Linked DNA regions of Macaca fascicularis. The protein of the gene in region 2 interacts with the protein of the main gene of each other region in a pairwise test. Links are inferred from orthologs where the notes say so. Each region holds a gene or a part of one and is shown on either strand. Other genes may lie near its edges.

Region 1 (4,341 bases), on a different chromosome or scaffold from region 2:
ACAGAAATTCACCAGAAAGACTTGCCAGTAATGGCTCACACAAGAGCACTGTGGGACACGTGCAGCACTTGCCGCTCAGGTTCTGGGACAGGAGGGAGATGGAGGAGGATGGGACCAAATCTTCAAGAGGCTTGTGAGTCTGGACTTCCTCTTGAAGGTACAGGGCCCCTCCAGGCATTGCAAAAGTGGGGGTTGGGGATGCTGTGATCCCACTGGCCTTTTCAGAATATCTAGCTACAACGTGGAAACTCAGGAGTGGGGAAAGAGGTAAAGAACGGGGCAAAGAGGCACGTCATGACTCAACGGCTTGCCCCAAGAACCATGGAGAAGCAGCAATGGTGGTGAAATCAGAGCCACTGCTGAAACAGGAAGCGGGAGGGCAGTGCGGAAGCAGCCGCCCGGTCCTCTAGCTCAGGCCCCTCTAGCTAAAAAGAACAGAGGTGGTGCATGAGGGGTGGAGGCTCACCCTGGAGGGCAGGGAAGGAAGACAACTTGCTTTCAGCCACAGAAGGAGCCCTCCAGAAGAGTAGCAGGATGTGCCAGGAAACCAGGAGACCTTAGCCTCATCCTCACAGGAGCTGCTGTGTGCCCAGAGCCTGCAGCGCCTCCCCATGGCACCTGCTGGGCTAGGTGTTCTCTCCGAGGCCCTGAACCAGCTGTGCTAAGGGGAAAGCTACCTCCCTCGTCTGGGATGTTTTTATTTAGCGTTGCCACCTAGAAGCCAGGTGACCTGAGAAGACTGAGTCATCTGTGAAATGGGGACACTACTACCTTGTTTCAAAAGCCTCAAAAAGGAAGAAAAAAGGAAATTAGGATGAAATGAGAACACAGGTGAAAAACGTGCGACACATCACAGGACACTCAACAACCTGCCTGAGCACTGGCGTGGGCAGAACAATGGCAAGGCCATGGGTCCTGAGCTGATGGAGGGGGCTGGGAGGGAGGCTTTGCTGCTGACTTGGCTGCATCACCAGTAAGCATGAGGGAGGCACCTAGAAAGCCGTTCCCAACACTTACCACACTCGTTGAATTTGTCCTTCAGCATCTTCCATGTGAAATCGAATGGGAGCTAAGGAGGAAGGAAAAAAGGGAGACTGATGTGTGATTAAACCAAATCCTAAGGCACGCCTTGCAGCTGACTCTGAGGGCTACACTAGATTTCTTACTATACCAAGAAGCTGGCTGCTCTTCAGACTGAGGCGATCAGCAGGGAACTAATAGGTCCACGTGGGACAAGGCTGTGAAGTGGCACAGCCAGCTCCCTCCCTGGGGCTCAGACTGTGGGAGCACTGTGCAGGATGGGACGCTTGGGCCTGTGGTGCGCAGCCCACAGTCACTAAATAGTGGCTAAGAGTGGCTGAGCTGGGGAAAATAATTCCGTTACAGCCACTTCTTTCCCTGGATCACTGTGCAAGACACAGTGCCTCTTCAAGCCAAGCAATCAGAAACTGCAGTCTCTGAGCTCAGAGTCTGCTCCATATTCTAGCGCAGTGGAGAAGCCCAGGCTCTTCCAGAACCCACAGTTCTCACATTCCTTACTTGTCCCACTAGCATAAAACGTTTGGGACAGGAGCAAGGAGATGTGGTCCTCTTTGGAGGGCGCCACCTCTGACTTCATCCTGCTGATCTTTGTCTCCCCTGTCCCCTCATGCTCACCACCACCAAGAAGTTCCCCAAGAGCCACTTACATTTCTCACAAATATCTGGCAGGCCTTCCTGGCCACCCCAGGAGCATGGCCTCCAGCTCCACCAAAGGAGCCTGCGAAACTTCCTCCAAAGTTGCCACGCTCCATCTCGATGGCACGGTCAAAGCTGGCACCGCCACCGCCACCCATGGCCAGGCCCATGCGCTCAATGCCAGCGCCCAGGGCCGGGCCCATGGCGGGGCCCATGCGCTCGAGGCTGTTGGCACCCATGCGCTCCAGGCCCATGCGCTCGAGGCTGTTGGCGCCCATGCGCTCCAGGCCCATCCGCTCCAGGTTGTTGGCGCCCATGCGCTCCAGGCCGGTGGCCATGCGATCCATCACGGGGCCCATGCGCTCCAGGCCAGCCCCCATACCTGCGGGCACCATGCGCTCCATGCTCAGGCCCATGCGCTCAATGGCAGGGCCCATGCGCTCCACGCCAGAGCCCATGCGCTCAATGGTCTGGCCCACACGGTCGATGGGAGCGGCCATGCGCTCAAGGCCGAAGCCCATGCCGGCACCCATGCGCTCCACGCCTGAGCCTATGCGCTCCATCGTCTGGCCCATGCGCTCGATGCTAGACGCCATGTGGTCAAGGCCCAGCGGGCCCATGCGCTCAATGCCGGAGCCCATGCGCTCCACGGAGCCCATGCGGTCCATGACCAGGCCCATGCGCTCGATCTCGGAGCCCACGCGATCCATGCCGTGGCCCAGGCCTGCGCCCATGCGCTCCATGCCGGCACCCCCGAGGCGGTCAATGCCAGGACCCATCCTCTCGATCCCAGGGACGCTTCCTCCACCTCCACCTGAAACAGGGACACAAAACACAGGTTGGTGTCAAGAACTTAAGTATGCGTGTGTACAACACGCCAGACCACTTCAGCTCATGGGCATGGATCGGGGTAAAGGCCCACCATAATTTACCGTTAAGACACCCCTCAAATGTTGACAACAGCTACAGCTGGGTGATGGACTCATGAGGGCCTCCCAGCATTCTCTCTGCTCTATGCCACAGCTGAGATTTCCATAACACAACTTCTAAAGAACACCCCTGTATGTGTGTCTGTGAGGTGCTAGTGTCTGTGACAAGCTTTGTGAACCATGGATGTCAATTCCTGAGACCTCTGAGGTTTCTCCATCAGCAGACACTGAGAAATGCTCCAGGGGGAGGCAAGGACACCCCCCACTCAGAAGGCCACCCAGGGTAATGAACAGGAGTTACGTGGAGACAAGTCCAAGTTACTCCCACCTTCCCCTCCCACCCTGTCCCTCTCGGATGCTCTGCTGGGGGCCACTCTGGCTGCGTTTCCTCAGCGCTTCCAGGGAACAGAGAAGGATTTTCGGCCACACCATCAAGCAGAGGTCAAAAAACACACACCGAGAGATCCTCTGTGTACAAATGCACACAACTGGCCACTTCTGGGGACCTTATTATTACAGAAACCAAATGATCTGCTGGCTTTGGAAAGAAGATGTTGATGGAACTGCAGACTGGGCTCTGGTGGCAGCTGGGGGTCAGCCAGCAGAACAAAGGGACCCCCCACCCGTAGTGCTTGCAACTCTGGAAAGCAAGGGTCTGGCTCCATCAGCAAGGCCACCCCTTTCCACATGCCGAGCTTGGGGCTCCTCCCCGAAACCCTGTCGTTTGCCTCTGAGAGTGGCCATCAGCCCAGAGCCAGCCTGTGACTGACCCAAGCAGCCTAGTCAAAAATTCCAATTCAAGAGGAAACTCAGCAGTTTCTCTAATTGGCTCTACAACTGACCACAGACAAGTCTCTCTGTTGCTCCGTACTTGCTTCCTTAGCTGCAGAGCAGCACACTGAGAGACAAAAAGCAGGCCCAACTTTAAGAATGTGTGACTTTCAGAGGGGAGACGTCTCAGAACTTCCCCACAGTATAAGGAACCTAGCGAGAATGGGCACTTTGCCCAAAGGCATCAGAAATGAGGTGGGGCGGCTGGATGTGGTGGCTCATGCCTGTAATCCCAGCACTTTGGGAGGCTGAGGCGGGCGGAACAAGGTGAGGAGTTCGAGACCAGCCTGGCCAACATGGTGAAACCCAATCTCTACTAAAACTGCAAAAATTAGCTGGGCATGGTGGCGAGCGCCTTAGTCCCAGCTAGTCAGAAGGCTGAGGCAGGAGAATCACTTGAACCCGGGAGACGGAGGTTAGAGTGAGCTGAGATCGTGCCACTGCACTCTAGCCTGGGCGACAGGGTGAGACTCCGTCTCCAAAAAAAAAAAAAAGAAAGAAATGAGGCAGGGCAACTCCCAATGCCAACAGAAGCAAAAGACTGGGAAGAAATGGTGCCGGTGTGGAGCTCCAGAGCCAGCCCAACACAGATGTCAGGAGGTGAGATGCCAAGACACTCAGAGGGAAAATCAGGCTGAAAAAGTACATTCGGGCCGGGTGTGGCGGCTCACATCTGTCATCCCAGCACTCTGGAGGTGTGCAGTTCAACTGAGGCCAGGAGTTTGAGATAAGCCTGGATAACATGTCAAAATGCCATCTCTACAAAAAATCAAAAAATCAGCCAAGCCAAGTGGCATGCGCCTGTAGTCCCAGCTACTTGGGAGGCTAAAGTGGGAGAATTGCTTAGGCCTGGGAAGTCAAGGCTGCAGTGAGCCGAGATTGCGCCACAGCACTCCAGCCTGGG
Region 2 (5,867 bases):
TTAGCAAGTGTTCTCTGGAACCTTAAACACAAATCTATTTCTTAAAAATCTATTATGTTTCAAAAACCAGACCTTCTTCCAACTGTAAAATTCCCAAAGGGAGTTTCCTCCTGGGTGCCCTGCAGGTATAAATCCACGTCTCCTATTTCTAACTAGTATTAACTTACCAGGTGACCTTGTGTCCTAATTGGTCTGAGCCCACAAAGCCCAGCAGTCATTATACTTGGGGACAGGAGGCTAGGTGGCTCAATGTCTATAACACTCTTGACAACTTCAGAGGATTCTGTCATGTGAAGAATGAAGCCTTTCTTGTGAATATTTAGGAGTGTTAAAGCCATGCCCACACTTTCTAGATACAGTGTAATAGCACTTCATGAGATTATCATCTTTGGAACAAGAAAATGTGAAGTTCAAGTTAGTTTATCTGGGAAAAAAAAAAAATGGCCAGGCACAGTGGCTCACGTTTGTAATCCCAGCACTTTGGGAGGCCAAGGCAGGAGGATCACTTGAGCCCAGGAGTTTGAGGCCAGCCCGGGCAACATGGCAAAATCCTGTCTCTACAAAAAATATAAAAAATTGCCCAGGCTTGGTGGCATGAGCCTGTAGTCCCAGCTACCCAGGAGGCTGAGGTGGGAGGATCACCTCAGTACAGGAAGTTGAGGCTGCAGTGAGCACTGCACTCTAGCCTAGACAACACAGTGAGACCCTAGCTCAAAAAAATCAAAACTATAGTTTCTTTTTTTTTTTTTTTTTTTTGAGACAGAGTCTTGCTACAAATTTGTAGCCCAGGCTGGAGTGCAGTGGCACGATCTCGGCTCACTGCAAGCTCCACCTCCTGGGTTCGCGCCATTCTCCTGCCTCAGCCTCCCAAGTAGCTGGGATTACAGGCATCCGCCACCAGGCCCAGCTAATTTTTTGTATTTTTAGTAGAGACAGGGTTTCATTCACTGAAGCCTTGCTTTCTTTCCTTTGTTTCTACAGATTGTATATAAGGACTGCCATTTTCCCTTCTAATAAGTAATACCCTAGCGTTTTTATGTGTATCAACTCGGAATTGCATCTCTTCTCTTTCCACAGCCCATGGTCTTACTCTGGGCTTTCAAAACCACTCATGGGACCTCGACAGACATTGGATGTCCCGATGCAGATGCTGCCAAAGGACTGTGAAAGAGGATAATTTGCCCTTAGCTGGTGCAAAACTGCCTGGAATTCAAATGAACTGCTCTTGTTACTCACAGGGGAGGCAGTGGGGGCCACCAGTGGCATAGCAAGGGAATCTCTGTGTTCATGAATTCTGGCTGGCTTTCTGTCCAAATGTTTCATTTGCATATAGCTAGGCAAGTCTCCATCTGTAATTTGGAGATGCTGATTGTAATGACCCAAGTCGGCTTTGAGGAAGTACACAATGAAGCATCTAGTAGGATACTGGACAACAGGAGGAACGTAAAGTAAAAGAGTTATGGTGATGGCCTGAGATGAGATGGAGAAGTAAAGTATAAGATATTGGCTCTGTCTTTCTATAATTAATTGATAATATCACATTATACTTAGTGGGCAATCCAAGACAATGAATGAGGTTGATTCACCCTCAAATTAATATTTTATATTCTCCCAGACCCTTATCTTGAATATTACACCTGAGTATCACTTCAGCCTGGATTTCTGGGATAATCATAACAATTTCTAAGGGGGTGGAGAATGTGCTGCTGCAATTTCTCAACTAGCTTGTCCCTCTTTGATCAGAAACTATCTTCGCTGGGCAAATAGTGAAGTGAAGGAAGGAGCTGGTGAGCCTCCAGCAGTAGATACCTGCTGTGTTAGGAAGTTAGGATGTTTCAGTTTTCTAACCTCAGTGAAAAAGCACAAACTTTGAAAGACGCAAACTTCCTTCAGGGAAATGAAACCTTCAGATTTACCTTCTATTGAAAGGATTAGTGACTAAATTCTGCTGATCAAAAAGGCATGAGGCACCAATTCATCCAATTCACTCCCTTATTGTGTTACTATGATCTTGCCCAGTCTCTGAAACTCAAAGCTCAGTTGTAATTTTAAGTTTATTTTTAAAAAAGTGATCAAACCACCCTTTAAACCCATTGTTGACATAAACATACTTTTAAAAAGAAATGTTATTTTTCTCCTGAGAATTTGTTGAAGGAAGTGGGGGTTTTTGCTACAACAAACCTAGCTCATTACAGAACTGGTGTCTTAACCTTCAAGACGGAATAGTGATGTTTATATTCTCATTGGATGGTGGTACTTCCTGTGTTTTATGAGAACATGCTGAGCTTTTATGCTGCTAACTGAGGGTAAAACCCAGGTAAATAAACACCATAGAAAGCCGAAATTGAAGGGTGTATGTGTGTGTGTGTGCGGTATTTCAAGCAGGAAAGCACAATTCTTTTAAACCAGGAAAAGAAAAAACAAAACAAATGTCTCTTAAAAGCACAAATGGACAAGTCATTAACCAGCTCCTTTGGTCTTGTGTAACAAATCCCTTCAAAGGATTAGAGGGGGACTTCAAAGGAATAAAAATTCTCAAAACCAGACAGCTAATGACTCTTAAAAGGGCATTTGCGTTGACAGGAAAATGATATCTTAAACACCCCTTGCTACCCATGTTAACACTAAAGAATTGGTGAGAGATAGAAAAACATTCCAAACCAGTACGAGGCTCAGAAAACAGATGCGGTCAATGCTCATTAGAGCTCTGGTTCCCTGACCCCAAACGCTTTTGAGACTATGCTAAAAACTACGAGACTCTACTCCCTAGAAGAATTCACCTGTACACAAAATGGTGCATTAACTTTCGAGGTTCACAGGCCCCCATCGGTGGACCCCGAGGAGGGCTACACGTACTCAGATTTACTCCGGATTTCGCTGCTCTAGAAATCCCCGGAGGCCCAGAGCCAGCTCCGAGGTGGACCGTCGGACCCCTCACCCGCCCGTTACCCGCGCGGCTGGCAGCGGCTCCACCTGCGGACCGGGGAGGCGGCCGCTGGGGACCCTGGAGGCCTCCACTTGGAATGTTCCCCTTTCCAAGACCAAATGGACAAAGAGAAAGGGCCGAGAAGGAGAGGTGAGAAGGGAGCCGAGTCAAGCATGGAACGCTCTCCGGACTGCACCTGCACGCCGCCAGGCTCCCCTTGTGCCTGCTCCCGTGCAAACTTTCTGGCCCGCGGTGGCTTTAGGCAGCGTCCTGATAGCCTGGAGTGGCCCGCAGAGGCGCCGAGCCGACCCCTCTCCCTGCCGCCCACCGCCCAGTCCCTCTCCCAGCGCCCCCGAAGTCACCCGGGAGGAAGAGGGAGCCCAGCGCTCCGCACAGGGGGCCAAGAGCACGCCGCAGGCGCGCACCTGGAGTCCCCTCGAGGGCCGCCCGGGTCCCCCAGCCGCTCCGGGACGCGAGGCCGTGGACACCGGGGGTGGCAGGGGCAGGGGCGCCGCACTTACTCTGAAGGGTCCAGGCTCTTCCTTTCGATGGCCGAGGACATTGGGGAGGGAGGCGGCGTGCCGGGCGGCAGGGGCGCTCCCTTTGTGGCGCGGGGCTGGCCGGCTGCCGGGGCTCGGACCCCCTCGGGTGCTCGGGCGCCGCCGCCGCCGCTCCTGCGCCTCCGCTTGCTCCGGCGCTCCGGCGGCGAGCTCGCCCCTCCGCGCTCAAGGACAGTCACCGCGCTCCCTTCAAATGCCAAAGAGAGAGAGCGAATCACCGGGCTGCGGGCGCGCCGCGGCCGAGGCGGGGGCCGGGGCGCGCAGCCTGGCCCTGGGCGGCTGCAGCTGCTGCTGCTGCTCAGGACTTAACCTTCCATCCCGGTCCCGCCGCCTCCGCCGCCCGGTCCCTCTCGCGCGCTGTCGCCGGCTCCGCGCCGCCCGCGGGGATGGTGCACGCCCGCCCGGCCGCCCCGAGCCCCTCGCACCTTCGGCCCGGGTAGCGGGCGCTGCTCGCCGCGGAGGGCAGAACGGGGGCGGCGGCCTGGGGGCGGGGAGGGGACTGTGCGTCTCTCCCCGGGCTTCCTCCTCTCTCGGGAAGGTCTATTTTCGCTCAGCTTCCCTCTGTCTCTGGTTTCATTTCCTTTTTCCTGATCACGATTCAAATACAATAGAAGGAAATCACATTTAAAGAGACAGCTGCCCGGTTCCCCCACCTCCCCTTTTTTCTTCTTCTTCTTCTTTTTTTTTTTTTTTTTTTTTTAACGGGGCTCCTGGGGATTAGCAATACAAACAGCAGCATCAGGACTGACTTGGCTTCTTAAAGGGGCCAGTGTCGGGGACGGGGAGATCCGCTCAGCTAACACCTCTCCTTGGAGAGGAGGCTGGGCAGCCACTAAATAATTCTTCAGGGCTTCCCCCCTTCAGCCTTTCCCTTTTGGTTTAACTAAGGCAGAAAGTAACCCACGAACAGCTCGAGCAAGCAAGAAAAAACAAGAATGTGAAATAAGCACCTACAGAAATGCAAGTGTTCCGAGTGGATTTTGAGCCCGTCCCAGGTTCGAGATCCCAGGTCCACGGACGCCGAGCACCGGGATGCCCCGGACAGCGCGGCTCTGCGGGCTACCGGCTGCGGGCTCCAGGCTGCGGCCGCGCTCTGCAGAGGCGATGGGGGTGCGCGAGCCGGGACTGCACGGGCTGGGGACGCCTGAGCAGAGTCAGGGCAGCTAATCCCAGAGGGAGGGTGGCTGGGAGGGACTTCGTGGGGCCAGGGCTCCTCTCAGTAGGCTGGTGTCGGAATCCCCTCCCTCAGCACCTTTCAGAGAGCGGACTCCTGCGGTTAAACTGCCCCCCATGTAAAGTGCCAGTAGTACCCCGACCAGAGAAAGTGTTTTTTCCAGTGATCCAGAACAGTATTAGGGAGATTATTTTGCCCTGGGTCAGGCACAGAGAAAGAAGGCGGACTTGATTTGGGGTTTCAGGCTTCCCCTCTCAGCCTCCTTCTAGAAAGAGGTAGGAACACAGAGGGTAAGAGAGGGGAGGCCAATAGTCTGCCCTTCCATGGAGAAAACGTTTGTCTCTCCTGGGCCTCAGAGGTCCTTGAAAATATCTGCGTTCAGAAACTGAAAGGCCTATTTGTGCGTGATGCCAGTCACTAAGGCTTGCAAAGAGGGAACGTACTTTCAGGATCCATAGTTTTATATGATCAGTCTGGATCATAGGCATACATTTTTGTTCCCATTTTCAAGATGGCACATGGGCCTGGATGAGCTCACCCTGAAAGATGGTAGTTGAAGTCAGAAGTGAATCCCTGAGTGCTTCATTTTCCCTGTTCAGAGCCAAAGCTTCATGACTTGTTACAAGTATAACCATAGTTTACTACTGCCTACATGCTTTCGTCATTTTCTGGTCCCTGTGTCCCAAGGCTTGGGTCCCTCATGGGTATAATCAAAAGCTGTGTGTGTGTGTGTGTGTGTGTGTGTGTGTGTGTGTGTGTGTGTGTGTGTGTGTGTATCTCAAAGAAAGCCTTAAGAGCAAATTTTTGTCCAAGTGGAGCCTTCAGTATACAAAAAGACTTTTTTACGGCTGTGCTTGGTGGCTCATGCCTGTAATCCCAGCACTCTGGGAGGCCCAGGCTAGCCTGAGCAACACAGTGAGCCCCCATTCCTACAAAAAAGAAAAAAGAAAAATAATTAGCTGGGTGTGGTGGTGCTTCCCTGAAATCCTAGCTACTCAGGAGGCAGAGGTGGGAGGATTGCTTGAGCCCAGGACGTTGAGGCTGCAGTGAGCCATGATCGCACCACTGCCCTCCAGTCTGGGGAACAGAGTGAGACCCTGTCTCAAAAAAAAAAAAAAAAAAAAAACCTTTTTTTTTTCCCAATAGACCCTTGTTTTTAATCTAAAAAATAAAATTCTTAGAATTTTAGGCAAGCCGAAACTATGTG
Region 3 (5,099 bases), on a different chromosome or scaffold from region 2:
ATAAAACAGCAAACCCCTATGATTTACAGTGGAAGAATACCTACCTACTTATGGTAGGAATACAGTACCTAGCACAGTGCCTTGTCGGTAGAAAATGTTTAATAAACACATGGCTGCTTTTTTAGCCTGATGTTCAACCCTTTTGTACCAAAGGAATAAAAAATAGGTAACCTGATACTTGTCCTCCTGTCAGGGAATTTTCTATCCTTAGCAAAGATGAAGGCAAAATAATGATGAATTTGATCATCTTTTTCTAAAAGCCATGACAGACCATTACCCTTATGTTTACATTTGCCCTTCAACACTGCCATCCACTACAAATTATTTCCCTAGTGTTATAATTTCTACCTTCATTATTTTACAAGTGTTTATTGTTTAGACTGTATGCTTTTTAATAATATATGGGAAAACATTATTTTCATTAGTAAGATGACTCCAAATTATAGAGAGGATGAGTAGCTTTTGAATTTTCCTGCAGGCAGAATATAAATTCTTGATACACTTCAATTCTGAGATCAAATTATTTGTATATCTTCCCCAATCAAGGTGTTCCATTCACTTTTGATGTTTTATCACCATCACTTCTTATCTGAGATCTTATGGCTCATTTTGAGGCTCTTAGCCATCCATTATCCTCTATTTTCTCAAATGCATATTCAAATTAGGTAAAAGGAAACAAGCGTAAATTTTTAAAAGATCGTTTAAAATGGTTTTCAGACTTTGTAATTCCTGTTGCCTTTTAATATATAAGGGAATGTATCCTTATAAAGAACATTTCAATGATCAATGCAGAAATAACATATTTGTCTTTAAAAAAAAAAAAGGAAACTTTCAAGAAAGGGACAATGAATCAGGTAGTTCATTATTTGGAGAATAGAGACATAAACATCACATGGAAAATTTAGGCATTCAGACCTGAATTAAGTTTAAAATTTCAGTTTCTAGGCAGGTACGACACCATTTCTTCAAGATAAAATCATAATGGTGAGTGAAGATTTTTACATTTCCCAGTGGATTTTCTGACAGTCAATAGGGAAAAAACTATTCTGCATCATTTCATATTTTAAATTTTGTCTTCATTTCTGAAGAAAAAGACCTGAGTGCTGATTTTTTTTTTCAATTTCTTAAACTTTCACAACATTCAGAAGTTTTTCTGCATTGTGTCTTCTCTGATGTCTAAAAAGATTTGAGCTTTGACTATACGATTTCCCACACTGAACGCATTCATAAGGTTTCTCCCCAGTATGGATTCTCTGATGATTAATAAGCCCCGAATTCTGGCTAAAGGCTTTCCCACATTCAAGACATTTGTAAGGTTTTTCTCCAGTGTGGACTCTCTGGTGTTGCACAAGAATGGAACTTCGGCTGAATGCTTTCCCACACTCAACACATCCATAAGGTTTCTCCCCACTGTGAATTCTTTGATGAAGAATAAGGGCTGAGCCCTGACTGAAGTGTTTTCCACATTCATCGCATATATGTTGTTTCTTTCGAGAGGGATTTCTCTTTCTTTCAAATCTGCCCTTGGGGAAACAGGTTTCTCCATATTTAAAAATCTGAGGAACACTCATATTGAGAGTACCAGGAACTTCATGGGATTCTACTGCTGAAGGAAGCTCCTGCTTTGGAGCTAGTGCTCCATTTTCAGTCCTACCATCATCATCTGAAAAAAACAGAAAATGTAAATATCATTCATTATCTATTAAGGGAAAAAGAAACCGAAAAAAAATTTTTTTAATGAATTAAATAGCTTGCACACATCTATAAACCACTCTGAAACGGTGTTAAGGCCTGTTCTCAAAAAAGAAAAAATGAAATTACTCTGAAATAACAGTATAACATCATGATATAAGAGATCTCTGAATAAAACATAGGCAAGTGGTTTATAAACGGTAGTCAGAAAACAAAGGGCAGAAAGAAGGTAGATTCTAAGATGGTTAGGGAGATAGTCAAAGTTATGTGGCTAGGTATGGATGAAACGTTGTAAGAATAAAAACAAAATAAAATTGGCCACTAGGAAATCATTATAATGTTCTTTTGCTTTGAGAAAGGGAGACATCAAAATACAAAGACATAAATTTTAAAAACCTATCAGAAAGTGGCTATTTCTGAAATGAACAAGACAAGTCAGGTCACAGCCAATGTTAGGCTAAAAGCAGAACACAGGAGTCTTGACAAGAAGGGGCTGAAGATAAGCTGGGGGCATCCTGTGTTAACCAAACACATGACATAAAAATTCAGTATGCCCCTAATAAATGAAAGTTTTCCAATAAAAGAAGCTTGCCCCATGTGATATTTGTCATGGTACTTAGAAAAATGGTTATTTCTAAGCCAGTGAAACGTGTCCAATGAAAGAAAAGCCTGAATTACCAACAGGTAGTAGCATCACTCACATGCAGGCAGAGATAACGGCAAGTGTCATTTAAGACTCTTCTGAAACTTCATGCCTTAAGGAGTAAAGATACAGTTAATCTAGGGTTAGCAACTGCCTTCAGTGAAGAGGGAAATAGTAAATAATTAACAAAAAGATAAAGTCAGGAGATAAGGCTAAGAGAGAGAGACTGAAAGGTTAGAGGACAGTGAGGTTTGGAGACTTGAAAAACAGAGGAGTGAGTTTGAAGATTAAGTGGAGACAAACGGCACACAGGAAACAGAAATTCCCAAGTGTGGAAGAGACTAGACAGCTGAAATAAGGCTATTTAAACATAGGTGAAAAGTCACTCTAAAATTCAGATGATGAGAAGTTGAAAATATCAACCCCATATATCAAGAATGATGCTTCTCAAACTTTACTGCACAGAAGAATGTCCCATGAAACATGTAAAACTGCAGATTTTCAGCAGACTTCAGCCCCACCCCAAAACTTCTGATTGGCTGGCACTGTCCCCTCAGATGTGAAGAAAACCTGCTCAGACCTCATTCAGTGACATATAAGCACCATCTCCAACTACCTCAAGGAATGGTTACTAAAGCAGAGTCAAACAAAATTTCATTTTAGTTCACATAAACATGAGAAAGCAATCTAGCAGTTTTAGGAATATACTGGGCCATATCAAAGGATACACATAAGTATATGGTGTTAATGACCAATATATTGGGAAAGACCAGTCTCGTGAATTAATACAACTTTGAGCTTTTAGAAAAGCTTTTTCTGCATTTAAAGCATGTTATAGCTAAGAAGGCTTTTTTGCGTAAATACTTAGAAAAAGGAAAAAAATCACTCCGAATATAATTTCTACAAAAGAAGCTTCTTAGAAGAAAATGACTCTAGGTAGATGCTGAAGAAAATCAGAAATAAATATTTGGAAAGACTTCAGTGATATACAACAGAGAGATGAGAAAAGGTTTTCAGGTAAGCTTACTGTACCAATGGAATTAGGCAGGAGATTGAAAGTAAAAGGATGGAAAATGGATGACAAGTAATACTGAATGTAAAATAGAGGGACTTGGTCCACGGGTGGGTGCTGGCTCAAAGTAAGGCAAATGCTAGCCTGACATGGGCAACTCTTTTTAGGAAGGAAACTCAAAGGGAAGAAAAGGCTGAAGATGTTAATGTGTAGGAATAAAAGATCTGAGGCCAGCAAAATCAACTTAATCAGAAAAAAACTGAGATCTTAGATTAAGAGTGATATGATCCCCCCAACCAGTGAGAACAAGCAAAGTTCGGAACAAACGGCCTACGCTCTCTTTCACCCTCTAGTCCACACAGAGTTCTGGTCCTCACCACAGTGCCTTAGGGAATGGAGCTCCCAGGATGCCCACTTGAGCTGGTTCTCCACAGCATCAAGCTCAGAACTTGGTAATCCCTGAGCTGCTTCTTGAGATACCATGTCTTCTACTAGTACTTCCCGTTTTCGTCGACGGAGAGAAACCTGGAAACAGAAAGATGTGATTCAGAGAAGGAACTGTAATGAGAATCAGAACTAAAAACATGTAAGAGAAACCCCATAAAACAAATATTGCAGAAGCCTAGATGGCAAAGAAGCACAGATAACAGGGAGTGGTAGGGGCATGGGGGAAAAGGTATAAACCTAATTCTAATTTAGTTGAGTGGAATTAATTCAGCAGCTTTGCCTACTACTATGCCAGTGCTTCTGACCCAGGAAATGACACAAGCAGGCTCACCGGTTGTCCAGGGTCATCAAGTTCACTCTCCAAATCCTCCAGCACTGTCACTGCCTCCTCTCCATTCTCTGGATGATGATCTCGAACCCAAGTCTGTAGCTCTTTGGGTAGGATGGCAACAAACTGCTCCAGCACTACCAGTTCCAAGATTTGCTCTTTTGTGTGCGTCTCTGGCCTGAGCCACAGACGGCAAAGTTCTCGGAGCTGGCTCACAGCCTCACGGGGCCCAGGTGAATCCTGGTATCCAAACTGCCTGAATCGCTGTCGGAAAATCTCTGGGTCTGGGAGATGGTTCCAGGGGATACTTGATCCCTCTTCGCCATCAGGATCCTCCTCCAACTTCACTCTCAGAATTTTTTCCTCTTCATCTGGAGTTGGGATGATAAGTATTGAATCTTCTTCCACTGACTGTGCAGACATTCTGATTTATAATATTTCAAGAAAATACAACTGAGGCAGAATATAAGCCTCAGGGCAATACCCCGTTTTCTTCACAGGCACTCCTGAGGCACAAGAAATAAAAGATATATAAATAAGCAAAAATATCCTAAGAATTTGGACTTACACTGGTAAAAGTAAAAGATACTTGTTCTTTGATGGAGTTAAAAATTCCAGTCAATAACCTACACTAGGAATTGGCAAACTACAGCTTCGCGGCCAAATCTAGCCTGTCACCCATTGCTGTACAACTCTTGCACCAATAATAATTTTCACATTTTTAAATGGCTGTGGTCTTCACCACAGTGCCTTAGGGAATGGAGCTCTCTAAAATCAAATGAATACCTAATGATATTTAGGGAATGGAGCTCCCCAAAGTCAAATGAATACCTCATGACAAGTGAAAATGATACGAAATTAACATGAATGTGTCCATAAAAAATTGTACTTACTCATACTTCACGCTACAATAGCAGAGTTGAGTAGTTTCAACAGACTAGATGGCCTAAAAAAAACCCAACACAGTCATGCACTAC

What was found.
Region 1: the proteins of LMO2 (region 2) and HNRNPM interact in binary tests that used the Homo sapiens proteins (3 or more experiments, as listed by UniProt). The link is inferred for Macaca fascicularis from reciprocal best matches to the Homo sapiens genes LMO2 and HNRNPM.
Region 3: the proteins of LMO2 (region 2) and ZNF24 interact in binary tests that used the Homo sapiens proteins (3 or more experiments, as listed by UniProt). The two-hybrid records come from large-scale screens. The link is inferred for Macaca fascicularis from reciprocal best matches to the Homo sapiens genes LMO2 and ZNF24.

The regions. Positions count from the first base shown.
Region 1 is NC_088393.1:9,176,674-9,181,014, reverse strand, and holds part of HNRNPM (heterogeneous nuclear ribonucleoprotein M), read right to left. Parts: intron 2,492-4,341; coding exon 1,689-2,491; intron 1,070-1,688; coding exon 1,018-1,069; intron 1-1,017. UniProt on the Homo sapiens protein: Pre-mRNA binding protein in vivo, binds avidly to poly(G) and poly(U) RNA homopolymers in vitro. Involved in splicing.
Region 2 is NC_088388.1:31,708,868-31,714,734, reverse strand, and holds the start of LMO2 (rhombotin-2), read right to left. Parts: upstream 3,956-5,867; 5' UTR 3,804-3,955; coding exon 3,797-3,803; intron 3,674-3,796; coding exon 3,448-3,673; intron 1-3,447. UniProt on the Homo sapiens protein: Acts with TAL1/SCL to regulate red blood cell development. Also acts with LDB1 to maintain erythroid precursors in an immature state.
Region 3 is NC_088392.1:54,504,813-54,509,911, reverse strand, and holds part of ZNF24 (zinc finger protein 24), read right to left. Parts: exon of another isoform or gene 4,629-5,099; 5' UTR 4,546-4,628; coding exon 4,126-4,545; exon of another isoform or gene 3,873-4,125; coding exon 3,725-3,872; exon of another isoform or gene 3,701-3,724; intron 2,448-3,700; coding exon of another isoform or gene 2,419-2,447; exon of another isoform or gene 2,394-2,418; intron 1,664-2,393; coding exon 1,125-1,663; 3' UTR 1-1,124. UniProt on the Homo sapiens protein: Transcription factor required for myelination of differentiated oligodendrocytes. Required for the conversion of oligodendrocytes from the premyelinating to the myelinating state.